4 linked regions of the Cricetulus griseus genome follow. The protein of the gene in region 1 purifies or fractionates together with the protein of each later gene. This does not show direct contact. Links are inferred from orthologs where the notes say so. Each region holds a gene or a part of one and is shown in the gene's direction. Other genes may lie near its edges. The genes, in order: Phf1, Rbbp4, Ezh1 and Eed.

Evidence for each region.
Region 2: the proteins of Phf1 (region 1) and Rbbp4 purify together in Homo sapiens (affinity purification with mass spectrometry; 5 studies listed by BioGRID and IntAct, with this or other methods). This does not show direct contact. The link is inferred for Cricetulus griseus from reciprocal best matches to the Homo sapiens genes PHF1 and RBBP4.
Region 3: the proteins of Phf1 (region 1) and Ezh1 purify together in Homo sapiens (affinity purification with mass spectrometry; 5 studies listed by BioGRID and IntAct, with this or other methods). This does not show direct contact. The link is inferred for Cricetulus griseus from reciprocal best matches to the Homo sapiens genes PHF1 and EZH1.
Region 4: the proteins of Phf1 (region 1) and Eed purify together in Homo sapiens (affinity purification with mass spectrometry; 8 studies listed by BioGRID and IntAct, with this or other methods). This does not show direct contact. The link is inferred for Cricetulus griseus from reciprocal best matches to the Homo sapiens genes PHF1 and EED.

The regions. Positions count from the first base shown.
Region 1 is NW_023276806.1:232,130,742-232,135,248, forward strand, and holds the start of Phf1 (PHD finger protein 1), read left to right. Parts: upstream 1-1,464; 5' UTR 1,465-1,623; intron 1,624-2,251; 5' UTR 2,252-2,267; coding exon 2,268-2,426; intron 2,427-2,510; coding exon 2,511-2,592; intron 2,593-2,675; coding exon 2,676-2,771; intron 2,772-3,406; coding exon 3,407-3,507; intron 3,508-3,596; coding exon 3,597-3,745; intron 3,746-3,893; coding exon 3,894-3,989; intron 3,990-4,123; coding exon 4,124-4,192; intron 4,193-4,317; coding exon 4,318-4,441; intron 4,442-4,507. Other genes in the region: kinesin-like protein KIFC1, read left to right, coding at 228-272. UniProt on the Homo sapiens protein: Polycomb group (PcG) that specifically binds histone H3 trimethylated at 'Lys-36' (H3K36me3) and recruits the PRC2 complex. Involved in DNA damage response and is recruited at double-strand breaks (DSBs).
Region 2 is NC_048595.1:23,714,916-23,718,736, forward strand, and holds part of Rbbp4 (histone-binding protein RBBP4), read left to right. Parts: intron 1-655; coding exon 656-732; intron 733-1,268; coding exon 1,269-1,326; intron 1,327-1,431; coding exon 1,432-1,542; intron 1,543-3,763; coding exon 3,764-3,821. UniProt on the Homo sapiens protein: Core histone-binding subunit that may target chromatin assembly factors, chromatin remodeling factors and histone deacetylases to their histone substrates in a manner that is regulated by nucleosomal DNA.
Region 3 is NC_048600.1:114,246,786-114,250,606, reverse strand, and holds part of Ezh1 (histone-lysine N-methyltransferase EZH1), read left to right. Parts: intron 1-866; coding exon 867-907; intron 908-1,465; coding exon 1,466-1,591; intron 1,592-3,821.
Region 4 is NC_048596.1:109,139,762-109,143,582, forward strand, and holds part of Eed (polycomb protein EED), read left to right. Parts: intron 1-131; coding exon 132-197; intron 198-1,547; coding exon 1,548-1,673; intron 1,674-3,098; coding exon 3,099-3,180; intron 3,181-3,821. UniProt on the Homo sapiens protein: Polycomb group (PcG) protein. Component of the PRC2/EED-EZH2 complex, which methylates 'Lys-9' and 'Lys-27' of histone H3, leading to transcriptional repression of the affected target gene.

The DNA.
Region 1 (4,507 bases):
AGAGAGAGGTAGCCTGTGTGGAGTTGACATAAAACCAGGGCTTCATCTCTAGACTTCTGACCTCTTCCAGGCCTACTAGTGGATATAAGACAACTATGCTTAGGGGCGGGAACCAGGCCGAGCCTACTTTCAACAGCCCTTATTTCAATATTTTGGAGGGCGGCCCCAGCATTGGAGCTGGGGTAGATGGACCAACGCTGATCTTGTATAACCTTCTTGGTCCACAGGTGAACCAGTGTGTTATCGGTACTGCTCAGGCTAATAAGAAGTGAAGATGGCCAGAGCCTGGTTCCGCTGCCGCTGGGTTGATTGTGTCTCTCTCTGTGTGTACTGGGGGGGAGAGGGGGGTGAGAGATACGCTTTTATTGGGTGGACATCATTTGTACCCAACTATCAAATAAAGAAATTTTGTTGTAGACTTTACGCATGGTTGTTTTGCCTGGGTGTGTGTACATGTGCGCCATGTGTATGCCTGGTGCTTCTTGAGTTCAGAAGAGGGCTGGCTTCAGGTCCTCTGGACCTGGTCTGATGGATGGCTGTGAGCGACTGTGGGTTCTCTGCAAAAGCAGTCAGTGCTCTTAACGACGAGCCATCTCTGCAGCCCTTGTTACGGCTCTTAAATAAAGGTCTTGTTAGTCCTGGTAGGTTGTAAACAAATACCGTAAGCTTGCAGAAGTGTGGCTTCTGACGTGTGCTTTGCACAGTGAGGCTATGGGCTTTTCTCTGTTGGGCTCTCACTTGGCTGTCCTTCAGCGCGGGTGTTGCACCCATAGCTGCCACACCGGGCCTGGTGTGAGTCCCAGCGCGCTCGATCCGCATCCCCTCCCTCTGCCTGCCCACCGCTTGGAACTACGGTTCCCTGCCGCCCGCTGCCCATTGGCTGGCTGTGGGCACGTCACCGGCTGGGTGCTGGCCCTGCCGCCCTGGCTCGCCCGCTCGCCGGCCCTGGCCCGCTCGCTCGCCTGCCCGCCCGGGAGGGAGGAGCGCAGCCGCACCGGGCTCCCGCGGCAGGAGGTGTGGCTGTCTGCCCAGGTGCAGCGCCCAGGCGGGGCCGCGCGTGCGCAGAAGGGCGGGGCGACAGGAAGTGTGAATGGGGAGGGCGGGGCCGCGTGCGGAGGCGGGGCTTGGAGTGGCCACGGGGGCGGGGCAGCTAACGGATGTGGCATGGGGCGGGGCTGGGCCCTGACCTGCAGGCTGGCTGCCAGCAGGGTTATTTCCTGCCGCTCCCGGGGCGAGCCTCCCGTCCGGAAAGGGGGCTGCAGGGGTCCCCTCGTCCTGCCCGGCCGGCCGCGCCCCCAGCCGTGCGGTGCCCTCGGGGCCTGCCGGGGGTGAGGGAGGTGCTGCCTGTCCGCCCCTCCGGCTTCTCCTCCCTCTGGTGCTCCCCACCCACTACTCCTCCCTCCCGCCCTCCCGCGGCCGACTCCTCCCGCCGCCGCCGCCGCTGCTTTGGCTGCTGCGTCATACGCCCCAGAGCCGCTAGGACGGAGGGGCTGGGCCCCGGGACCCCCGGCCTCCTCCTGCACGCCCTCGGCGTCCGCACGCACTCCGCCCGCGCCGGGGCTCGCGCCCCTAGGGCTCTGGGGTCTGCCCCTAGCTGGCTCCCTGCTGACCCAGCTGTCACCGGTAAGAAGGAGGCGGGAGGCCCTGAGCGGGGGCAGGGAGGGGGCCGGGGGTCGATGCTCAGCAGGGGGCAGGAGAGCCTCTTGGCACCGGCTTAGGATCCGGGCTGGGGGGACTCGAGTCCCTCCTCAGACCGGCGGTGTAGGGTAGCGGAGACCTGGACAGGGACACGCCCCCCTCCTGGGGCACTCGGGGAAGTTATCTAATCCCAGGGCAAGCAGCCTCAAATTTGAGGGTGACCTAACATAACCTGGCACCAGGACAGCGGTTCTAAATGAGACACACAGGCCTGGGGAGGCGGATGTCTCTACTCAGGGAAACATCTCCAGAAAAGCTCCCAAAATATCTCTGGGCAACCGAGCGTCCCAGTTAGGATACCTCTAAACAGCTGGGAAAGGCGAAACTGAATGAATGGTAACCTTGGCTCTGAAAGCATCTTTTCCCCTAAGGCCCCAGGGAGCTGGGATGCTAGAGAACCAGGCTGGGGACCAGGGTGACCCACCTCCTTAGGTGTCTAAAGGATTCAGTGACTGAGCTTGGAGGTGCTTGGTCCCTTATCCTTGACAGTAAAAGCAGACAGAGCAGCCAAGCCTTCTTAACATTCATAAACTCTTCCATCGTATCTGATTAGCCCCTCCCAGGATGCAATGGCGCAGCTCCCCCGGCTGAGCCGCTTGGGTGCACCCTCTCTTTGGGATCCAGCTTCCCCTGCTCCCACCTCAGGCCCTAGACCTCGACTTTGGGAGGGTCAAGACGTGCTGGCTAGGTGGACCGATGGGCTGCTGTATTTAGGCACCATCAAAAAGGTAAGAGCCAACTCTGGGCCCCACCATGGATCCTCTCCCTCTGATTCCTGCTCCCACTTTATAATCTTTGCTCACCCACTCCAGGTGGACAGTGCTCGGGAGGTGTGTCTGGTCCAGTTTGAGGATGATTCCCAGTTTCTGGTTCTATGGAAGGACATCAGCCCGGGTGAGACCCTTCATAACTGCAGAAGCTGGAGGGTGTGGGGGACACTGGCTGAAGTAAGCCACCTGACACCTTGTCCCTCACAGCTGCCCTCCCTGGGGAGGAGCTCCTCTGCTGTGTCTGTCGCTCTGAGACGGTGGTCCCTGGGAACCGGCTGGTCAGCTGTGAGAAGTGTCGTCATGGTGAGAGGAGAGGGCAGGATACTTGAATGGTACAGTTTGCCCTGGGTCTTCTGGATTGCCAGTTGTCTTCCTAGCATGGGTCTTGTGTCTCCTATCTTGGCCAGTCTTCACCCTGTCACCTCATCTCAGTACAGGGAGAGGGAGCCATAGGATGAAGATGACATAAGCCATGCAAGGTTGAGGGTAGCTACATACATCTCTCTCTCTCTCTAAGGTTGAGGGTAGCTACATACCTCTCACTCTCTCTCTCTCTCTCTCTCTCTCTCTCTCTCTCTCTCTGTCTTTTAAAGATTTGTTTATTTATTATACAGTGTTCTGCCTGCATGTACAACTTCAGGCCAGAAAAGGGTACCAGATGTCACTACAGATGGTTGTGAGCCACCATGTGGTTGCTGGGAATTGAACTTAGGACCTCTGGAAGAGCAGCCAGTGCTCTTAACCTCTGAGCCATCTCTCCAGCCCCCCCACCAAACACACACCACACACACACACACACACACACACACACACACACACACACACACAGTAGGACCATGGTCAGGATATAAACGCACAAGGGAAGGCTGCCGTGTACGAGCACCAAGCCAATGCAGGTGCGCACACAGTGTTTGACTCTCAACATTGTCCTTATTCAGCTTATCACCAGGACTGTCACGTTCCCAGGGCCCCAGCCCCTGGAGAAGGAGAGGGCACATCCTGGGTCTGCCGCCAGTGTGTCTTTGCGATTGCCACCAAGGTAAAGGCACCTCTCTGCCACTTCCTATGGGAGCCTCCCATGGCCCCTTCTCTCCTGCCTCTCTGAGGTTTCCACCTGTTCCTCTGCAGAGGGGGGGCGCCCTGAAGAAGGGCCCCTATGCCCGGGCCATGCTGGGCATGAAGCTCTGTCTGCCGTATGGACTAAAGGGGCTGGACTGGGACGCCGGGCACTTGAGCAACCGACAGCAGAGCTACTGTTACTGTGGAGGCCCCGGGGAGTGAGTGGTGGGGGTGCTGAGTTCTGGGGTGGACGCTGTGGTGGTAGAGCCTGGAATAAAGGGGAAGGGGCAGGCTGAGGGGAGCCCCGAGGTGATGGGAGGTGGGTGAGGGTTCAGGGTGGTCTCAGGCAGGCTGTCTTCCCCTGAGGTGGAACCTGAAAATGCTGCAGTGTCGGAGCTGTCTCCAGTGGTTCCACGAGGCCTGCACCCAGTGTCTGAGCAAGCCCCTCCTCTACGGAGACAGGTGAGCCCAAAGGAGGCTGTCCAGGAAGCCCAGGGCGCCCGCCTGCTGTGCTCCACCCACGCCCAGGCCTCCCAGCGTTCGCTGTCTACCACTTGTAGAGTTGAACGAGGTGCGTTCTCTGTCCTCATGTCCAGATTCTATGAATTTGAATGCTGTGTGTGCCGGGGTGGCCCTGAGAAGGTCCGGAGGTTACAGCTTCGCTGGTGAGATGGATTGTGCCTTCCTTCCTTCCTTCCTTCCTTCCTTCCTTCCTTCCTTCCTTCCTTCCTTCCTTCCTGTTCCCCGCTGTTTGACTCTCATATGCGCTGCTGCCTTCCTGCCTCTCCAGGGTGGATGTGGCCCACCTGGTCCTCTACCACCTCAGTGTCTGCTGCAAGAAAAAATACTTCGATTTTGACCGAGAGATCCTCCCCTTCGCCTCTGAGAACTGGGACAGTCTGCTCCTGGGGGAGGTACGGGTCCTGAAGTTTGGGAGCTGAGGTGGGATGCGGAGAGGAATGACTGCTCTCTGACCCATT
Region 2 (3,821 bases), on another chromosome or scaffold:
GTTTTGTCATTGTCCTATTTCCTTTCTCTTGGTGGTAGTGGTAGTGATGGTCTTGCTTGAAGAATATCTAAATTCTTCCCTAACCCATTAGTCAATAATGCCATAAACTAACATTTTTTTTTCTTTCTTTTTTTCTTCTTCTTCAAGTCAGGATATCTCTGTTTAACAGTCCTAGCTGTCCTGCAAACTCATTCTGTGGATCAGGCTGGCCTTGAACTCACAAGGAGCCTCCTGCCTCTGCTTTCAAAGTGCTGGGATTAAAGGTGTGTGCCACCACTACCCAGCAAACCAGCACTTTCTTAACAGCCACAGGATTTGTGATAGTTTTGTGTGTGTGGTTATCTTTTACCTAACATCATTATAAGGAATCTTTGGGGTATAGTAGTAGCTGTCCAGGCAGTGGTGGCGCAAGCCTTTAGTCCCAGCACCTGGGAAGCAAAGGCAGGCTGATCTCTGAGTTCAAGGCCAGCCTGGTCTATAAAGCAAGTGCCAGGACAGGCTCCAAAGCCATAGAGAAACCCTGTGAAGAGAGAAATATCTGTAAGTTTTAGCAGTATTCACTGCCTTTTATTTACAAAGTTTTGTAGGATATAATTTGAGATATTTTCCCCTTCTATTTCTAATTGGTTGCATCTTTGTTGACTCTTGGATATAGGTTCAATGGTCACCTCACAACGAGACTATTTTGGCTTCTAGTGGTACTGACCGTAGGCTGAATGTCTGGGATTTAAGGTGAGTTTTGTGTTGGTTACTGGTTTGTTGGTTTGGGGTTTTTTGTTTGTTTGTTTGTTTGTTTGTTTGTTTCGAGGAGACAGTTTCATGTGGCCCTGATCTAGAGCTCAATCTGTATATTGACCTCAAACTCTGAGAAATTCATTTCTCTACCTCCAAGTGTCACTAAGCCTGGCAAAGTTGCTGTCTTCACATTTTTTCAAAGATAAGTGCTCAGCTGTCTTAGGATTTCTTTTTCTGTGAAGAAACAGTCATGACCACAGCCATGTTTAATTAAGTAGCTTACAGTTGAGAGGTTCTCAGTCCTTTATGGTGGGACATAGCTCTGCAGGTTAGACATGGTGCTAGAGTGGTAGCTTTAGAGGTCTACATTTTGTGCAGGCAACAGGAAGTTAACTGAGAAACTAGGCATGTCTTGGATATATGAGACCTCTTTAGGCCACAACTCCTAATAGTGCCTGTGAGCTTATGGGGGCCAGTTACATTCAAACTACCACACATGGTAATGTTTTCTGACTTAATTCTTTTTTGTTAAGTAAAATTGGAGAAGAACAGTCCCCAGAAGATGCAGAAGATGGCCCACCAGAGTTGTTGGTATGTTACAGACCTTCAGGCACTTTGGGGTCTTCTGTGTTTTGAATAGTGGACTATGATTTAATGTTCTGTGTTTAAATATATTTGTTTTGGTCCCTCTTCCAGTTTATTCATGGTGGTCACACTGCCAAGATATCTGATTTCTCCTGGAATCCCAATGAACCTTGGGTGATTTGTTCTGTATCAGAAGACAATATCATGCAAGTGTGGCAGATGGTAAGTGTTCGGCCATTATTTAGGGGACAGTAGGTACGTGAGGCCATCATTACTCACACACCTCACACACTTTGGATACAACTGCCATCTCTGCCCTGTTTTCCTCAGCTGTGTTTTTATGTGTAGTTTTCTCTGGTAGTTCGTTGCTTTGGTTTTGTTTTGTTTTTGGTCTTTTTTGAGGCAGGGTTTCTCTGTGTAGCTTTGGAGCCTATCCTGGCACTCTTCTCTGGAGACCAGGCTGGCCTCGGACTCGCAGAGATCCGCTTCCCTCTGCCTCCTGGGTGCTGGGATTAAAGGCCTGCACCACCACCAACCAGCCATTTTTTTTTTTTTTTTTTTTAAGATTTTATTTACTATGTAAACAACATTCTGCTTCCGTGTATGTCTGCACACCAGAAGAGGGCACCAGATCTCATAACGGATGGTTGTGAGCCAGAACTCAGGACCTCTGGAAGACTAGTCAGTGCTCTTAACCTCTGAGCCATCACTCCAGCCCCTGTTTTTGGTCTTTTTGAACAACTTCTCTGTCCTGGCTGTCTTAGAACTCTGTAGACCAAAATGGCCTCAAACTCAAGAGATCTGCCTGCCTCTGCCTCCTGATTGCCGGGATTAAAGGCATGCGCCACCACTGTCCGGCTTGCTTACACTTTTCCTTTATCTGATTGTCCCACTGCTTGTTTTTAGTTTAGCTAATAAAAACTGATCTACTGTGGTTTATTCCCCCTTTGCCCTCCTCACTATAGTTGTGATGCTGTAGCACCAGTGTGTCTTTGCTTACCTGTTACAGCTACAAGAATTCAAGTTTCTTCACCTCTGGGTCTAGTTATATATCATCCTATTAGATTTCAAAAATACTACCTGTAATCTCAACAGTCATGAAGCACAAGCAGGAAGGTTGTTGTGAGAATAAGACCCTGACTATGACGGGGGTGGGGGTGGGGATACAAAAATAGTATTAGAAATAGAGACAGTTAGCCGGGGGGCATGCCACTAATCCCAAGCACTCTGGGAGTTCGAGGCCAGCCTGGTCTACAAGAGCTAGTTCCAGGACAGCCTCCAAAGCCACAGAAATACCCCACCCACCCACTCCTGCCAAAACAAAAAAGAACTGAACCTGGATCCTTTGCAAGAGCAACAAGTGCCCTTTACCACTGAGCTGTCTCTGGTCTCCAGTAAAGGGTTGTGTTGCTGCTGTATTCATTTGAGAAAGGATCTCAGTGTGGAATCTCTAATTCATAGCAGTCTACCTGCCTAGTTTTAGTTAAAGGGCAACCAGAGCTACACAGAGAAACCGGGTTGCACTTGGGGCGGGGAAAGGGGGTTGGCCAAAAGAAAAGGTTGCAGAGTTGTGAACTAGATTCCCTCCGGGGTTGCTACCTCTATTGTGGGATATGTGCATATACTAAGGTTTTGGTGAGACCCCTACATAGCCTCATGATCTAGTCAGCGTAAGTGCTAAAAATTGACCGCTTGAAACTCTCTGCCTCTCCAGTGGGGTGGCAGATTAAGCTCTTGGCTTGCCCTGTGATCTTGGCACAACCAAAAATTGGTAGTTTGAGAATCCAGATTCTGGTTGCCAGGAGACAAGTAGTGTGAATGCCCTGCTCCCTCCTGTGTTTATCTCTTCCATTTGGTGTGAGAGAGGGACTGAGACTGCAGATCTGGGGTTTCAACAATTCTCTGAGATGATGTTGGTGTTGATGATTGTTGATGTGACAGGGTTCTTGGTTACCCAGTTAGTATCCAGAGGTGGGAGAAATAACCACACATTTGGTGTTAGACTTTTATATATTTCATCAACGGAGGGGCGCGTGTGTGGTCATAAGTATCACTTTGTGTATATGATAGAAACCTCTGGTTTATATTTTAGCTATTACCAGTGATATATCTGGTTATAGGGTTCAGGAATGATGATCGTCCATACTTTGTGAAAATGCCCTGTACTCAGAGCTGTGGCCTGCTCCTTGTTTTCACTGAACACATATGTGCCCATTTATGATTCATGTCGTTCGTGCATTGTCTGTTGCTGTTTTAGTTCAGCAGTAGCACTGAATGGCTAAAACTATAAGTCCCTCTTTGAAATGTTATTTGGGGACATTGTTATCAGGCACCTTTCCATAATATATTATGGAATATAATATATTATGGAATATAATATATTATGGAAAGGTCAAGAAGTAACTGTCTTCATGCTAAATACCCTTTTCTCACACTTTGGCAGGCAGAGAACATTTATAATGATGAAGACCCTGAAGGAAGTGTGGATCCAGAAGGACAAG
Region 3 (3,821 bases), on another chromosome or scaffold:
CCATCCCATCTTACTTGGACACTCAGATGAGAGCCACTGTCCTCAGTACTCCCTGGGGATCTGTGACTGGGGCCAGCCCTTCCCTGTTGACCACACTGAGGACTCTTGTGCTAGCTGTCTGGTTTTTCTTTTGAGTTTCTAGCCAGTAGGACATGGCTGGCCTGTAACTCTACACTAGGATTGTTTCCCCTTCTTGGGTGGCGACTCTCTTCCCCACTTATCACCTCTCAGGAGTTTGTTCCTTTTTTTTTTTTATCTAGATATTTATATGTGTTGTTTTTCAGAATCACATAACTGTGTATATGGATTGGAAGTTGAAGAAAGTTTAGTAGCTAGACATGGTTAATCCCAGTACTCAAGAGGCAGAGGCAGAGGCAGATGGGCCTCTGTGAGTTCAATGCCAGTCTGTTCTACATAGTGTCAGGCCAGGCAGGGCTACATAGTGAGACCCTGTCTGAAAATAAAACTATCACTCTGACAGACAGCCAGATTCCCTGATGTGTATTGGTAGCCAGGGAAGGGAGGTGGCTCTAGCTCCAGATACAAAAGCTGTTCTGTCTCTTTCCTGTCAGTTTCCTCACTGAAAGACTTTCCCACCTTAGAGCTCTGGCAAAGAGAACGAAGGAAAAGGAAGGAGCAATAGGAAGGAAAAGGAAGGAGCAATAGTGTGATAAGAGACAAGTTTGTGAGTTTTTGCTTTGTTAGACAGGCTCTAGATTCAGCCGACCAAAGTAGGTGCCTCCTTCTAAGGAACTCTGGAAGGGTACCTCAAAGTTGTCAAACTGTCCCTCAGAGCAGGGCACACTGTCATTTGTCTGCATCTACAGAGGATCGGGATTCAGACCTATCCCGTCTCTCTCTCCTAGGTTGTGGGCCGCACACTGCAGGAAAATTCAGCTGAAGAAAGGTGAGTTCAGTGGGAGAAAGGCCCCCACTTAGAGTAGAGTGTGTTCTTAGCGTGTTCAAGATTATAGGCTCCATCCTAGGCACATGCGCACATGCGCTCACATACACAGGTACACACAGTTCAGACTGAAGCCTCACCCTGTGGTTTTCACCCTGCCACACCTATAGCTCTCTTGTTGACCCTGGCTGCTTCTGCAGATTGCAGATTTCTTTGCAGCGTCTCAAGGGCTGAGCCAGTGGCTACAGCTAAGATGCCCTCTCAGGAGATAAACTTAAGGCCTTGTGGTCTCTTAAGTTTCCTAGTGTGCTGTTTGCCAGTGCCAGACCTCTTTTCATGTTTAGAGTAGCTGCCTTGTTATCTCTGGCCTTCTCCACACCCTACCCACAAAGCAGATATCTCACATGTTTATGTACAGGGGTCAGCTACTTTATCAGGTGCTAAGTGTGTCTAAAGTCATGATTAGGACAAGCTTACTTTGACTTGGGGCACTGGAACATTTGGAGAGTAGGGCATCAAGGGAGCCTGGTCATAGCAGTGTCCTTCTCTATTCTCTTCTAGATAACTCTTCTACACAGGTGTATAACTACCAACCCTGTGACCACCCAGACCGTCCCTGTGACAGCACCTGCCCCTGCATCATGACCCAGAATTTCTGTGAGAAGTTCTGCCAGTGCAGCCCAGACTGTAAGAGCACCCTGCTTTCACCATCGTCTACCAAAGTGGTTGGCCTTGGAGTCTCCAGGCTCCCTTCTGCCCCATAGCTGCCTGTAGACCTTTGATATCCCTTTGCTATGGTTCAGGCATCCTACAGGGCAGGAAGGTGTGAGCCACTGAAAAGTTGTGGGGGTTGGTTAGTCTATTTTTAATTTTAAAACATTATTTTATTGTTTTATGTATATGAGCGTTTTGCCTACATGTATGTCTGCATTGTGGGCATACCTGTTGTCCAAGGAAGTCAGAAAAGGGAGTCAGATCTCTTGGAACTAGAGTCACAGACAGTGTGAGCCACTGTGTGGGTGCTGGGAATCAATCCCAGGTCCTCTGGAAGAGCAGCCAGTTCCCCATGCTGATAAGCCATCACTCTAACCCCTGTTCTACTGTATAAAAGCACCCCAACTCCTGGGCTCTCAAAGTCTCTCCTTGCTCTCCCAACTCTTCCCCTTTCTCCCCTCCCCACTCTCTATATTTTCAAGCAGTTTTCCTTTCTCCACAGCTTAGATAGCTGAGGTTACAGGGATGTGCCACTTTTCCCAGCTGTGAAAGTCAGGTGGGGAGTCTGGAAATAGGAACTAGATATGATGCTTCTCCCATCTTCTCCTTTTAGGGAGAACTGAGAAACAGGAGTTTTTCCTACGATGCATTCACAGTCTCCTCTTTCTTTAGGATGTTGTTTTTAAAAAGTGTTAGGGCTGGAGAGGTGGCTCAGTGGTTAAAAGCACTTTCTGCTCTTCCAAAGGACCTGAGTTTGGTTCCCCGCATCCGTGGTAGGCAGCTCACAACCATGTGTAATTTCAGTTCAAGGAGACACCTGACACTTCTGTCCTCGGGCATCCGCACACACTTGGCATACACATACATATAAATAAATAAAAATAAAAGTGGGAAAAAAAGGTTATATGGGTTGAGCATGGTAGTATGTAACTAACTAGGTCTGGAATTCTACTCTGGGAGTCTGAGGCAGGAGGATCAGAGTTCAAGGCCAACCTGTGCTACTAATGAAATCATGTTTCCACAACCGCTATCACCTGCAGATTTGTTTATCTGGATGCAGTGTTACCTACCTACCTACCTACATACATACATATCTCTAGCATTGCAAGAAAGGCAGGTGAATCACTTGGACCTAGACTAAAACCCTGCCTCACAAGAGGGGGAAGAGGGGGAAAGAGAAAAAAGAAGGAGGGCTGGTGAGGTGGTTCAGCAGGTAAAGGCAGCAAAACAAACTTGCCAGGAAGCCTGGCTTAGATCCCTGGAACCACATGATGGACAGAGAGAACTGCTTCCTGCGTTGTCTGTCCTCTTATCTCCACACACGTGAATGGCAGGGTGTGTCTACATCTCTGTACACACCCACTAAATACATAGAATTTTTGTAAAAGTTTGAAGAAAAGAAAAAGAATATACACAGCGAAGTCTTTTGGGATTTTGAGAATTTTTGATAACCCAGGCCTAACCTTGAACTCCTCATCCTCCTGCCCCTACCTCTCAGCTTCTGGAATTACGGGCATGTGCCACCACAGCGGACCCATATAGAGAATTCCTCATGTTTGTGTAATAGCTGAAGACTGAGTGGTTGTGGTTCTAGGGGTTGCACCTATGACTCTACTCTGTTTATACTCTACTCTGTCTATACTCACTCCAGCTAGAGTTCTTTAGAACACATTTTTCCCCCACAAATATTAATTGAGCTGGGTAAAGAGCCTTTATTTCAACATACTAGCTAGAGTTTATTTTGTTGTTATTTTTTGTTTTGTTTTGAGACAGGGTTTCACTATGCAGTCCTGGGTGGCCTTAAATTCACAGAGATCTACCTGCCTCTGCCTCTAGAGTACTGGGATTATTGACGTGTGCCACCATACTTAGCTGAGGAGTTAGACTATCTCGTAGAAGGAGCTGGAATGGGTAAAAGTGCTTGTAGAAAACTCTGGGTTCCCAGCACCCATATCAGGCAGCTTAGAAGGAAATAACAGCTTTAGCTCCAAGGGATCTGATGCCACCTTTTGGCTTCCAAGGGCTCTTGCACTCAGGTGCACATAGTCACCCACAGATATACACACATAATTAAAATTAAAAATCAGTATGTTAGGGCCTGAAGAGATGGCTAAGTGGTCAAAAGCAGAAAACCTGGGTTCTGTTCCTGGCACCCTCACAACTGCTGTGACTATAGCTCAGAGAGATCTAACACTGCCTTCTG
Region 4 (3,821 bases), on another chromosome or scaffold:
TTTGGATAAGCTTACAGAGCTGCTGCAAGCAGTTTTTGTAATGTCACTAAGTTGTAATTTTGGCTAGAATGTTTTAAGAGTCAGAGAATGTTTCTTTCTCTGAAATGATATGCATATTTTTGTTTCTTTAGGTTACCTTATATGAGTGCCATTCACAAGGGGAAATCCGGTTATTGCAGTCCTATGTAGATGCTGATGTATCCTTCTCTCGCTGCTTTTGTATGGTTTAAAACATTGAGTTTGATAAGTACACTAAAACTTTTTTTTTTCCCGAGACGGGGTTTCCTCTGTGTAGCTCTGTAGACCGGGCTTGCCTCAAACTACAAATATACTGTCCTATCTTTCTTTAGCTAGGAATATTATCATTGTTACCCAAGGGGATCAATCCTAGTATCTCATGTACCTGATCTTGAATTTGTCATGAGGTGAATGTGATGGTGGGTACAAGACGAGTGGAGTTGGGACCATTAGAAATCCATGGTAGAAATTGTCAGCAGGGACCAGCTAAGCCTAGAATTTTACAATTTCAGTGTAGTGTTTTTTTTTTTGTTTTGTTTTTTTTAAGATTTATTTTATTATTGTATATAGAGTTTTTTGCTTGCATGTCTGCCTGCAGGCCAGAAGAGGGCACCAGATCTCATTACAGATGGTTGTGAGCCACCATGTGGGTGCTGGAAGTTGAACTCAGGACCTCTGGAAGAGCAGCCAGTGCTCTTAACTGCTGAGCCATCTCTCCAGCGCCCCCAGTGTAATTTAATACATAGCTGGCAGTCATTCTAAGTATCTGATCAAAAAAGCTGAGATGGAAAAAATAAGTGTGGGTAATTTAGGAAATTATTGAAGAGTGAGTTATGAAGAAAAGGAAGATCTTAATTTAAAAGCCCAAGGGTTTATTTATTTATTTATTTTTGTTTTTAAGGAGTTTTAAAAGGCTGAGTGATGAGATGTTTCTTCCAGATCCATTTGAAAAAATACAGAAAGTGAAGGCTGGGGGCAGCACTGAATCTGTAGATAACATGGAAACGAGTGAACAGTTGCCATGTTAGGATGGTGGGAAATGAACCATTTATAGGTTCATAGCACTATCAGGACAAAGGGTCAGCGAAGTAAAGCCTGCAGTCTCACTACCCAGCTTTGTAAATAATGTTTTACTGAAGAACAGTTATGCCTATGCTGAGCTGCTCTTCCTTGCTGCTTTGGCAGTACTCCAGTGGAGGGGAATAGTTCTACAGGCAGCTAAAGAGAAGTGTGCAAGGAGAGAGCTTATTTGGTAATGGATTTTAAACCTAAAAGTGCTGCCACTGTGAATATTATTTATTTTTGAGAATAGGGCCTTGCTGAGTAGCCCTAGCTGGATTTTAGTTTAAGAAAACCCTCCAGCTTCTGCCTCTTGACTCCTGGGACACCTGGGTATCACCGTGCAAATTTTGTATAAAGAAAAATGAATAATTAAAACTTTAGCTGTTGTTTAGAAGGTTCTGTTTATTGTAAATATTAACGTGTTTATTTTTCAAAATAAATTATATCTCTTAACTGGCATTTCTTAGGCAGATGAAAACTTTTATACTTGTGCATGGACCTATGATAGCAACACCAGCCACCCTCTACTTGCTGTTGCTGGGTCTAGAGGCATAATAAGGATAATTAATCCCATAACGATGCAGTGTATAAAGGTGGGTCTTTGGTCAAATTGTAGATTGGCTGTTTTTGAATACTCAGGCTACAACTTCATGGAATGACTTTAAAACTAATGTAGTCAATTTGATTTGATTTATGCCTTGCTTATTGTTTCTCCTTTACTGCATTTATTCACTTGGGTGTATGGAGCAGGTACATGAGTGTGTATACGTGGATGAGGTCAGAGGTGTCAGTTCCCATCTTCATCTGTGTGTGTCCTAAAGACCCAATTCGGCTTTCAGGGATGCCAGCCAGCACCTTTACATGCTAAGCCATCTTGCTAATCCGTTACTTTCTTTAGAGTAGTCCTTTGAAACTTCTGTGACAATTAGAGGATGTAAATTAAGGAATACATAGGAAAGTGTTAATACTTACCTTTTTTTTTCCTTCCCCCTCTGTGTATCTTTGTAGACCAGGCTGGCCTCAAACTCAAAGAGATCCACCCTCCCCTGCCTCGCTAGTGCTGGGATAAAAGGTGTGTGCCACCACTGCCCAGCTCCAATACCCACCATTTTTTAATTTCTCTCCTTCCCTTGCTTTGAGCACCTTAAAAAATTTATTTATTTTACATCCCAACTGAAGTTTCCCCTCCCTCCCTTCTTTCCTCCCAGCCTCCCTCCACCCACCTATCTACTCCTCCTCTAATTCTGTTCAGAAATGGTCAGGACTCCCATGAATAGCAACAAAACATGGCACATCAAGTTGCAGTAAGACCAAGGACCTCCCCTTGCGTTAAGGCTGGGCAAAGCTACTCATTGTGAGGAATAGGGACCCAAAATCCAGCCAAGGAGACAGCCTCTGCTCCCACTGTTAGGAGTGCCACAAGAAGACCAAGCTATACAATTCAAATACATTCAGAGGGCCTGCATCATTCCTATACAGGCTCCTGATTGTTGTTTCAGACTCTGAGCTCCTATCAGCCCAGGTTAGTTGATTCTGTGGGTTTTCTTGTGATTGCTTTGGACATTTTTAACTGAAAAATAACCACTTTTCCCAAGGGACCCAAATCAAGAATTGTGGGTTCCAGGGGACCCTGTAAGAGACAGAAAGGTAAAGCCAAGGAAGCTGATAAAAAGGCAGGCTTTAGATGTTGCTGTTTGTAACCTGGGGCTCACTTAAGCAATGCTGTTAGCTGAGTGGTGACAAATTGGTCCCATTTTCCTTTCTCTAAATTTGTTGGGCAATTTTAGTGTATAGCCAAAGGTGAGAAGAACTTTAAGTGGAAGTTTGTTTGGCAGCTTTGCTGGACACTGAACCTTGGGCCTTGAGTACACTAGGGTAGTGATCTACCACTGAGCTGTATCCCCAGCCTTTTTTCTCTTATGGTTTATGAAAGAGAATTGTTTTTTTTTGTTGTTGTTGTTTGTTTTGTTTTGTTTTGTTTTTGAGATATGAAAAAAAATGTTTTAAATTTATTGTAGCACTATGTTGGCCATGGAAATGCTATCAATGAGCTGAAATTCCACCCACGAGACCCAAATCTTCTCCTGTCAGTAAGTAAAGGTAAGCTTACAGAAACAAATGTTTCTTTAGTTCAGATTGTTTCGGAATAATTATTTTAAAGAGACAGGTTGTGTTCTAAGGGGAAATAATCAAAATTAAAAGAAAAAAGGTTTTAATAGGGAAAAAATAGCCTATATTAGTATCTCATGAACCAAGACCAGAGAACAAACCTCACTTTATACAGAGATAGTTCAAGAACTTTACTCCCCCCCCCCAAAAAAAAAAAGAAAAAAATCACATTGCTTTTTCACTTTGAATGACGTATCACCATGTTAGGATTTTCAAAAGGTGAGTTGTTTGATTTGGTTTTGGGAGACAGGGCTTCTCTGTGTAGCTTTGTAGATCAGGCTCGAACTTAGTCTGTCCCTGCCTCCTGGAGTGCTGGGATTAAAGGCTGTGGTATCACTACTGTTCACTCTCTCTCTCTCTCTCTCTCTCTCTCTCTCTCTCTCTCTCTCTCTCTTCTCTCTCTCTCTCCTCTCCCTCTCTCTCCCCCTCTCCCTCCCCCTCTCCCTCTCCTCCCTCTTTCCCTCTCCCCCTAGATAGATAGATTCTAGATGATAGCCCAGGTTGGCCTTGAACTCAAGGCAGTCCTCTTGCTTCACATCCCCTCTATCCCCAAGTACTGAGATTATAGGTGT